Linked DNA regions of Oryzias latipes. The protein of the gene in region 2 interacts with the protein of the main gene of each other region in a biochemical or structural test. Links are inferred from orthologs where the notes say so. Each region holds a gene or a part of one and is shown on either strand. Other genes may lie near its edges. The genes, in order: rps19bp1 and sirt1.

The links.
Region 1: the proteins of sirt1 (region 2) and rps19bp1 form a complex in vitro, tested with the Homo sapiens proteins (2 studies listed by BioGRID and IntAct). The link is inferred for Oryzias latipes from reciprocal best matches to the Homo sapiens genes SIRT1 and RPS19BP1.

Annotation. Positions count from the first base shown.
Region 1 is NC_019859.2:24,671,786-24,676,152, forward strand, and holds the start of rps19bp1 (active regulator of SIRT1), read right to left. Parts: upstream 2,826-4,367; 5' UTR 2,711-2,825; coding exon 2,656-2,710; intron 1,483-2,655; coding exon 1,309-1,482; intron 340-1,308; coding exon 242-339; intron 1-241. UniProt on the Homo sapiens protein: Part of the small subunit (SSU) processome, first precursor of the small eukaryotic ribosomal subunit.
Region 2 is NC_019873.2:29,790,671-29,795,219, reverse strand, and holds the start of sirt1 (NAD-dependent protein deacetylase sirtuin-1), read right to left. Parts: upstream 3,029-4,549; 5' UTR 2,994-3,028; coding exon 2,660-2,993; intron 1,954-2,659; coding exon 1,831-1,953; intron 1,756-1,830; coding exon 1,520-1,755; intron 1,440-1,519; coding exon 1,287-1,439; intron 1-1,286. Other genes in the region: dnajc12 (dnaJ homolog subfamily C member 12), read left to right, coding at 3,835-4,122. UniProt on the Homo sapiens protein: NAD-dependent protein deacetylase that links transcriptional regulation directly to intracellular energetics and participates in the coordination of several separated cellular functions such as cell cycle, response to DNA damage, metabolism, apoptosis and autophagy.

The DNA.
Region 1 (4,367 bases), on a different chromosome or scaffold from region 2:
ACAGCTATTGGGGCCACCGGGCGCTTGACACCGAGACGTGGGCAAAGCCAGGACACAGAGGGCCGAGGAGCCGCCCACCACCCAGTCGGAGCCTCGTCACCGCAGGTCAGCCCCGGCTGACCTGCGGTGACTTTAAAGACACCGTCTTTAAAGACAGAGGGTCTTTAAAGACAAAAGTAACAAAAAATGGCAATAATTAAAGCGTCCATCTCTGACACTGTTACAGATTTGTTTTTCTTACCTTCAAAGTATCTGAATCTGTGGGTTTACTGATAGTTTCCATGAAGTACTTGAGATTGGCGCTCAGGTTGCTCTTTCCCTGCTTCTTCCTGAACTCTTCTGCATGCAATCACAGAGGAAGACATTTGAAACAACAACATTATTTTCTCATCACACTGTCAATAACTCCATATTCAGTTATTGAGCGGTTTCTTTCTGCAATTAATTCATTTTTAAGCCAATAGCTGAATATTGAAAAGTTTAATTAATGCAGGTTACTGAATGTTTTACTCCTTGTTTTCAAGGAAAGTAAATTCCCTGAAACATAAAATGCCCTTATGCTTAATTTTACACTATTAACTTTAAATGTCAAATAAATGTTGCTCTTTACAGTTTATTTATAAAAATGTGATTACATGCAGCATCTGCTTTTGAAAACGGTCTGGGAAAAGCTAATCATTTTAAAAGTGGCTTAAAATCCCTCAACAGAGCAAAAACAAGTACATCATAAAATACAAACAAAAGAAAGACGGAACAAGGCAAACAAGAAGAACAAGTGGATTTTTAAACTTAGATTGAAAAGTAGAAAATGAATCAATGTTCTGGATGGAAGGAAATTTGGGAGTTTCTTCAAGCTGCTGAGGCAGACGGAGGGCACAGCGAATGGAGGTGAAGGAGCAGGAGGAGGTTGAAATGAAGAGGGGATTTGAAAAAGAGTGGAGGACCACAAGACCACAAACGACTTTTAAGCATTCTTTGAGCAACTTGCAGTCAATGAAGCTGAAGTAGGATGAGGGTGATATGGTGAAAATGATTAATTCTGAACTAGTTAGGGTACTGTGGGGGGCCTTTTGAGGAAAAGGAGGCAATTCCAAAACAAAAACTAAGTAACCAGATTGTGGTCAGTGATGGATGCAGTGTGGGAACTGGGGCGATGTAAGTTCAAATCAGCAGATATTACAAAGGCAGAGTTGTGATTAATGTAAAGAAGTTTGAAATGAAGCATAATTTTATGTCAGATAAGGAATTGGTCAAATTAAATTGTGGAAAAGTTAAATTTGATCTCCTAGACACAAAAAATTAACTGACCAATAGCTGATTTGATCCTCTTGTCCTTGACTGTAGCTTTGCTCTTCCCAGGACCAAGGCGGCCCTGCAGTCTTTTAACCTGCCTGCTGACTCCCTGTCTATTGCTGCTGATCTGCTCCATCACTGCGGCCGAGCTGGGGGTCTTCTTCTTTTTCTTTATCTGGCTGTCATCTGCTAAAATGCAAGCGAGAACAGCACAAATACACACCTTTAGACACAGTGCTTGCTGGGTGACAGTATATTACAATTATATTTGAATTCTACCTTATTTGTTTATTAAATAAATGTTCTCTCTGCAGATGGTGTCATTTTTAAAAGATGTTTATTTCCTTTAACATTCCAGCATGTCAAAAAAGATGACACAAAATCTCATTTAAGGTTAGAGTCAAAAATACCCTGTTGTTACTCAAAGTTAAATATGAATTTGATTTTTACATTATTTACTATGAGGATGTATTTTGGCAGCTCTTTGACGTTTAGGGGGAAAGTGTACATCACAACTTATTATATATTTTTATTCACATAATACAGTAAATATATTGACACAAGATTAAAAAAAAGTACAGATACATTTCTTCACTTCTTAGGATTTAATGAAATTAAACACATTTGTTAATTCAGGTTTTTATTTATTGTTTTTGAACTAGAACCCTAGCAAAAGTAGTCTATTTATGTCTGAATTTATTTCCAGGTATGAAAAAAAGATGTGGTTTCTTTTCTTGTTTTATTTATTCATGTTTTTTTTTCTGCTTTATGTAGACTATAAATGAAGGTAAGTTTGGAGCAGAGGTGCTTTTTATTGCATCAAGGCATCTAGGGGTTAGGTGCACAACAAATATACTCAGTTTATACTAAAAGTCAGGCGGTATACTTGAAGTTGACTTTTTATATATCTATATATTGTTAACCTTGCGTTGGTTTACTTGGTCTACAACTACATGGTGGTAATATTTTTACTATACTCAAGTAAAATAAACTTCAAGTGTTTATTATAAGAGAAAATATATTATAAAAAAGCTACTGCAGTTTTTTGTTTTAAAAATCATACAAATAAACCTTGACACGTATTCAGTTACAGAACTTTGTATATAAGACAAATAATATTACATGATTTGTTTTGCTTTATTATTTGAATCAAAATGAAGTTAAGAAGGAATGCTAAAAGGTGGACTAGCATAAAACAAAGTGAAAATAATTTTGCCAACTTTCTACCTACTAATATAGATTTTTTAATACATTTAATCTGTATTACATTTAGCAAATTTAATTAATTAGTGCAGCTGAGTGCTTGTGCTAATGTGGTTTGCTAGCTCAACTAAAATTCTATAGCAAAAAGTCAAACCGGACCTTTGATGTCATCACTCAGCAGCTCCAGTCCTCTTCTGACCAACGACACTGACATTGCACAACAACAAAAAATCACGTTCTTAACAAATCTGCAGTATATAAATGTAATATTCTGCCTCTAACACGTGAGTAGATCAACATCCGGTCTTTGTGTGCACTGCCGGAATGAGTCCTCCGAAAACCAGACAGTGTTGCATATAGTGCCTACCAAACTACTACTAGAATAATAAACTAACAATAAAATAAAATTAAAAAATTTAATGTGAAGTTTTTTAAAAAATAAAACAAAAGAAAAACAAGTGAAGTGAAGTGTTTTATTTTTAAAACAATTCATAAATAAAAAATAAAATAATGAGTAGTACAGGGGGGTATTCCAGGAAGCAGATTATGCTAGCTCCCACGGTAAGTTTGAGGCTAAGGTCCTTTAAAATTCTCCATAAAATTTACCCTGCCAAACATTATATGATAAAATTTAAAAAAGATATTAATACTGATTGTAGTTTCTGTGGAGATCACCCAGAAACAGTAACTCATCTTTTCTGGCACTGTTTGTCCACACAGAGATTTTGGAAGGAGTTCAGTAGATTCATCATTATTCATGTCTTCAAAGATTTCTCCTTGAAATGGGAAAATGTATTACTTTGTTTTTTCAGGACCCCCAAAAAACAAATAGTATTTTTAATAATTAATTTATTAATTCTTCTGGCAAAATTCTACATACATAAATGTAAATTTACTAATAAAACACCTTACTTCCCACAATTCATTAAAGATGTAACTTTTTACATTAAATCAATATCCTTTTCCTCCAACAAAAAAGCTCTCAGAACTATTGAAATTTGTAACTCTCTGCAAATATTTAATGAATCGACTCCCCTGGCTGTTTAACATTGTTTGTGTTGTATATTGATTGTATGTTGTATACTGCATTGATTGTTCTTCATGTTGTATACTTGCATTTGTTCAATAAAGTTATAAAAAAAAAGTTTGAGGCTAAGGAAGTTGATAACCTCAGTTTTCGGTTCCAGAAATGGAGGTATGTTTCAGGGTAGGTCAAGTTACCATGGCAACTCATGCTCTGAACATAACCTGGTCCGGAGCAGGTTTAGTTGAAGCTTAGTTTGTTTACAGAGAGGTGAAGCAGCATGGCGTGTCCATTTGAAGAGGATTTAGTGGATGAAGAAGCTCAGATAATACTTTTTCCAACATGAAAGGATGATAAGACCATGTATGGATGTTGGAAAAAAAAACTTTTTTACTTTGATCTAACTTAATTATTTGCTTCAGTTAAGATAAATCATTTTTTTAGGTCACCTTAAAAATAACACGTAGTTTTTAGACAGTTATTTTGCTTTCATTCAAATTAATTCAATTAAGTAGGTGTAACTTTGGTGCTGCAGTTAGATAGGCACCGCAAGGGATTCTGGGATATAATTCCCTTTGCCTGTCTGGACGGATTTGGGTTTAAGTGTGGGTTTTTGACATAATGTGTTTAGTTGTTTAGCTATTTTACTGTGCTTTGCCATGTTTTGCCGAGTTATTTTGTCCTACTATAATTATGTCTCTGCACCATGAGTTAGAGTGAAGGAGAGGATGATGAGTTTATGTACCACCCCTACAATACATTGTAATGACACTGTTAGAATATTCTTTAATGAATTTTTGCACTCCGTTCATTTTTTCCCATCCTTTTTATTGTTATAAAAATGAGC
Region 2 (4,549 bases):
CCAAGTTGTGTTTTACTGTAACTGCAGAAGCTCCAGACACGTGTGCAAAAACGCCGTTCTCATTGGTCGTGTAGTTTTTGACGCGGTGCGTCAAACCAAAAAAACGAACCCGAGGCGTTTTTTAAAAAATGACGCTTTTACTCGTGGCGTTTTTCGCGTCGGTGTGCACACTCACATTGGTGCCCTTTATTTAGTCACAAGGCGTTAAACGCCGGCAAATATCGCGCACGAAATTCGTCCCGGTGTGTACGGGCCTAAAAGGCTACGTTCACCCTGCAGGCTGAAACGACCCAATTCCAATTTTTTGCCCCTATGCGACCTGTATCTGATCTTTTCATGACAGTCTGAACGACACAGATCCGATTTTTTCGAATGCGACCCAAGCCAGTTTGGTATGTGGTCCTGAATCGAATACGTATCCGATCTCTTCGACCTCTGTCTGAGCGGCCAGGCCACATGAATCCGACCCGTACGTCATCGATACGCTACAAACGTCATCATTCTGCATTGAAGTAGGCAGGAACTAGATCATAAACATCAACCATGGCGAAGATGCTGCTGAGACCAGTCAGTGTTAGGGAAGTGAGGTCACCGATTGGATTCATATTTCTCTATTCAGGCCAAACTCCAGGGCTCTTACCGTAACCGGGCAGTTTTTGAAAACATTTCCAGCTAAATGGCTGAGGGTACAGACGATCCTGGCTCCTCACATCAGTATCCCACCACTCCACACGTTTCTCTGTACAGACTTGGCTAACACTGCTTCAAAAAACGCCATGGCCACAAACTTTCCTCCTTTTTAAATTTCTTTTTAAAATGAGAAGATTGTAATTATTCTGGCTCCTTTGTGAAAATAAATGTAATAAAGCAAAAATAGCTCTGCTGTTGACAACACTGTTGTTGACATCCATTGCTAACGTTAGCTACTTCCATAAACAACAGTGACGTCGGTCACCGTTGAGGACTCTTCTGCGCATGCCGGTCACTTCTGGGTCATTTCAGGGTCAAACAGGAGATCACAAAAGATCATATTTAATTGGAAATGTGAAGGACCTTCACAACGAACCATCTCTTAAGTCCAGATGACGGCCCCTAAACCCACTACTATGATGGAATCTACCTGGATGAATGAGAGGCTTCATAGACACATAGTGAAATATGTTTTTCATCTGAATTTAGTCAGAAGTGTGAGTTAAATCATTTAAATGTCACAAACATTTTGGGGGCTTTAGTTTAGTAAACTTGGGCCGGACCAGAGAAGGAAGAGACAAAAAAAACCTTCCAACCTTAGCAAACTTGAAAAACGGTCTGGGGTCTCGTCGGAAGTATTCGATGTCGAACATCGACTGCGGATCGGGAAGGTCGGGAAAGTCGACAGCAAGCCGAGCGTAAATCCCATCTCTGGAGCGAAAGTCGGGAATTCCACAGGAAACTGAAACCTGCGAAGCAAACCGGTGTTTACCGTTTCTTTACCCAACATGAAGGCAGAAAAAGCCCTTCTGGGGACTGAAACACCTACACCTGCACCGGTCAGAACCATGATCCTCTTGCTCTCATGAAGCAGTCTGACCACGTCCTCCACAGTGTTCACGTCTTTTCTCTTCTTCCTTTTGGGAGGTTCTGAGATGTTGATGATGATCTGCCACAGGGTCATGTCGTCCAGATCGGGTGGGAGTATGGTCTCGGGCAGCAGGTCCCGCAGAATGGCCCTGGGGTCCGTCTCTCTGATGTGCTGATGGATCAGACTGTAGGAACCTGCACACGCACACACCTGAGCTCACAACGGCTTTGCAGGGAGACGCGGAAAATACATTCCTGCCTCATTCTGACCGATCTGGGGCTGCGGAGTCCAGTCGCTGGAACTAGCATGAGAGGATCCGTCATCGTCGTCGTTAAGGTGTTCTGGTGTGACGGCGAGACCGTTGGAGGGAAGATCGTCAGCCCCGAGGAAGCCTGAAGAGGGCAAAACCGGCAGGTCAAAGGCCGAACGCCGAGACCTCTGCCGCCACACGACGCGGACCGTATTCATGCTTCAGGAAAGGATGACTAAAATGCAGCTGAAGGAGCTGCTCTGATTGGAGCCACCTCAACTTAATAGAACTTCAATCATATAAAGGGAATTCATTGATTCCTGGTTAATTTCTTAATTTTAATATAAAGGAAAATTCCTGATTTCTGTTTTCTATTTCCATGTTATAAATAAACCAATAACTGATGGATCTTAAGATTCATTAATGACACCTAAATCTATTCTATTGAGATTAATAACTTTAATTAGAAATTCATCATTTCTAATGTTTGGATAAATGTGGAGCTTTTATTTCATAATTAATTATCTTTACATAAGAAAATCCGGGAAATTACCTTAAATTAAATCCCGGAGTTCAGTTTTTGACTGAACTCGATTGATGGATTTTTAAACCTCTATTTTCCAGTTGGGTTAAACGGTTTAGTTCCGCCAAAGTTTGGACTTTTAGGTCAACACGAGTCACGTGGTCAAAGTCGGCGAAGTTCTCGAACAGGAACGAGAACTTCGCCGAGCATCGGTTTGTTTCCTGCCGCTTCCGGTTCCTTTCATCTTCGGTACGTCGGGCTAACAACCAGCCGTTCCGAGCGATGAAAACACGGAGCCCTTCGTCAGGGAACCAGAAGTACTCACCCGTTCTCCCCTCAGCAGAACCAAAGCCGAAGCTCAGCCTCTCGGCTGGGTTCGGCGGCTCGCATCCCAGCAGTCCCAGCCCATTGTTGTCTCCGCCCGCTGCGGCCTGCTCCCCCGCCATCGCCGGCTTCGCCTCCCTCTCGGCCCGCTGCTCGCAATTCACCGCCGCCTCCCGGCTCTCCGTGGCCGGGGAGACGTAGGAAAACGGCTCCGCCTCGATGGATCTGAAGACGCGGTCGTCCGGTGGAGTGATTTTCGATCTCTTAGCGGCGGGTTCGTCCGCAACGCAGGCTCCAGAGAAGGCCGCTCGGTGGCTGCTCTCGTCGTCCGCCATCTTCAGCCCGCAGGAGCCGCCGAGCAGACAGCTGGCTCATTTGCATAACGCGCGTGATGACGTCTACCATAACAAATGACTGATGCCTTCATGAACGGTCGGACAAAAGAAAGACATTAAAACATATGCAAAAATAATAATAAGGAAAAAATAAATAACGAAGGTGAAAACACCTCATTTAAAGATTATCAGCAGCATTAACTATCGAAGTAAATATGTCTAATAAATAAGATTGAGTTCAGTATCAGACAAAGAATTTACAAGTGACCAGAAAGTTATCTGCTAGCAATGGTTATTTTTCAAAGCAGACGTCACACTAACTAATAATTAGTTATAAAAATAAAAGCCATCTTTAAAAAAAAGCTCTGATATAAAATTGCATGCATGAACATTATTATTACCATTATTGCATATTACGTTAAACGTATTAAAAGTAAACCGAGTGTTAAGGTTTTCTGCTTGTTAAAGGTTTTTATGCTTATTTAAAATTAGACTTTCACTATGAACTTGGTAAATCAAACACTAAATCACAACCACGAAAACAGTTGCACACTGAATTTTTAAGCAAACATTCTCAGTAAAGTTATTTTTTATTGCTGTAAAAAGTATTAGATTTTTTTAGTTTAAAGCGTTTTCTTCCTCTGTTGACGGATTTGGAGAATTCCAGCATAAAAAGGCAGAAACTGAATCAAATGTATTTAAATCAAGAACTTCTCTATCAGCATTCTGAAAACATATCAAAATATAAACGCTATAATTACAATATATACTTACACATTGAGTTTATTTTTTTGAGGTTTAGTATTAACTGGAATGACCCAAAACGGGAGTGTTTCCTCCCATGACAAAGGAGGGTCCTCGAACGCAACCCACGTCACATGTTGGTGAGAAAGTGAGAGCTTGTTCGGTTCTTTTAAACTCAGCTGATTTATCAGCAGAATCCCAGTCCAACCAGAACCAAGAACCTCAGCGGCATCCCAGGAAGAGGGAGTTGGTCCATCGACCTTCCTGGATCAGAACCGCAGAGATCCGGTCCGGTAAAAGAAGAGCCATGGATTCCCTTCTGCGCAGTAAACCGGAGGACCGGGAGGATTTTTACGGAGTGCTGGGGTGCGACGAGCTGTCGTCCGTAAGTTCTGATGACGTCATTCCTGCCCGAGCTGCAGGAAAAGGAAAACATGTTTGTCGACCATTAACAACCTGCAGGTTGATCATCGTGAGAAAAGAGACCACGTGACGCACGAAGAGATGCTGCACGCGCTCTGTGCTCTGTGGCGTCAGAACCGAATCCCGGACCACAGGTGGTTGAAGCCGATGACGTGACCACCGAAAATCTGATTATCATCCTCTGATTTATTCAGTCAGACTATTGAAGTGATCATGTTAACAGGATAATCCGATTGCCAAACTGGTTTACATGCCCTCAAAACCCAGAGAAATGGGAGTAATCAGATCCTCGAAAGTAATCAGATTACAGTTGCAAAAATGAAAACCACATTTTTAATTTTATTCTGAAAGTCCTGGCTGAGGTGTTTCCGTCTCATATCAGATTTATT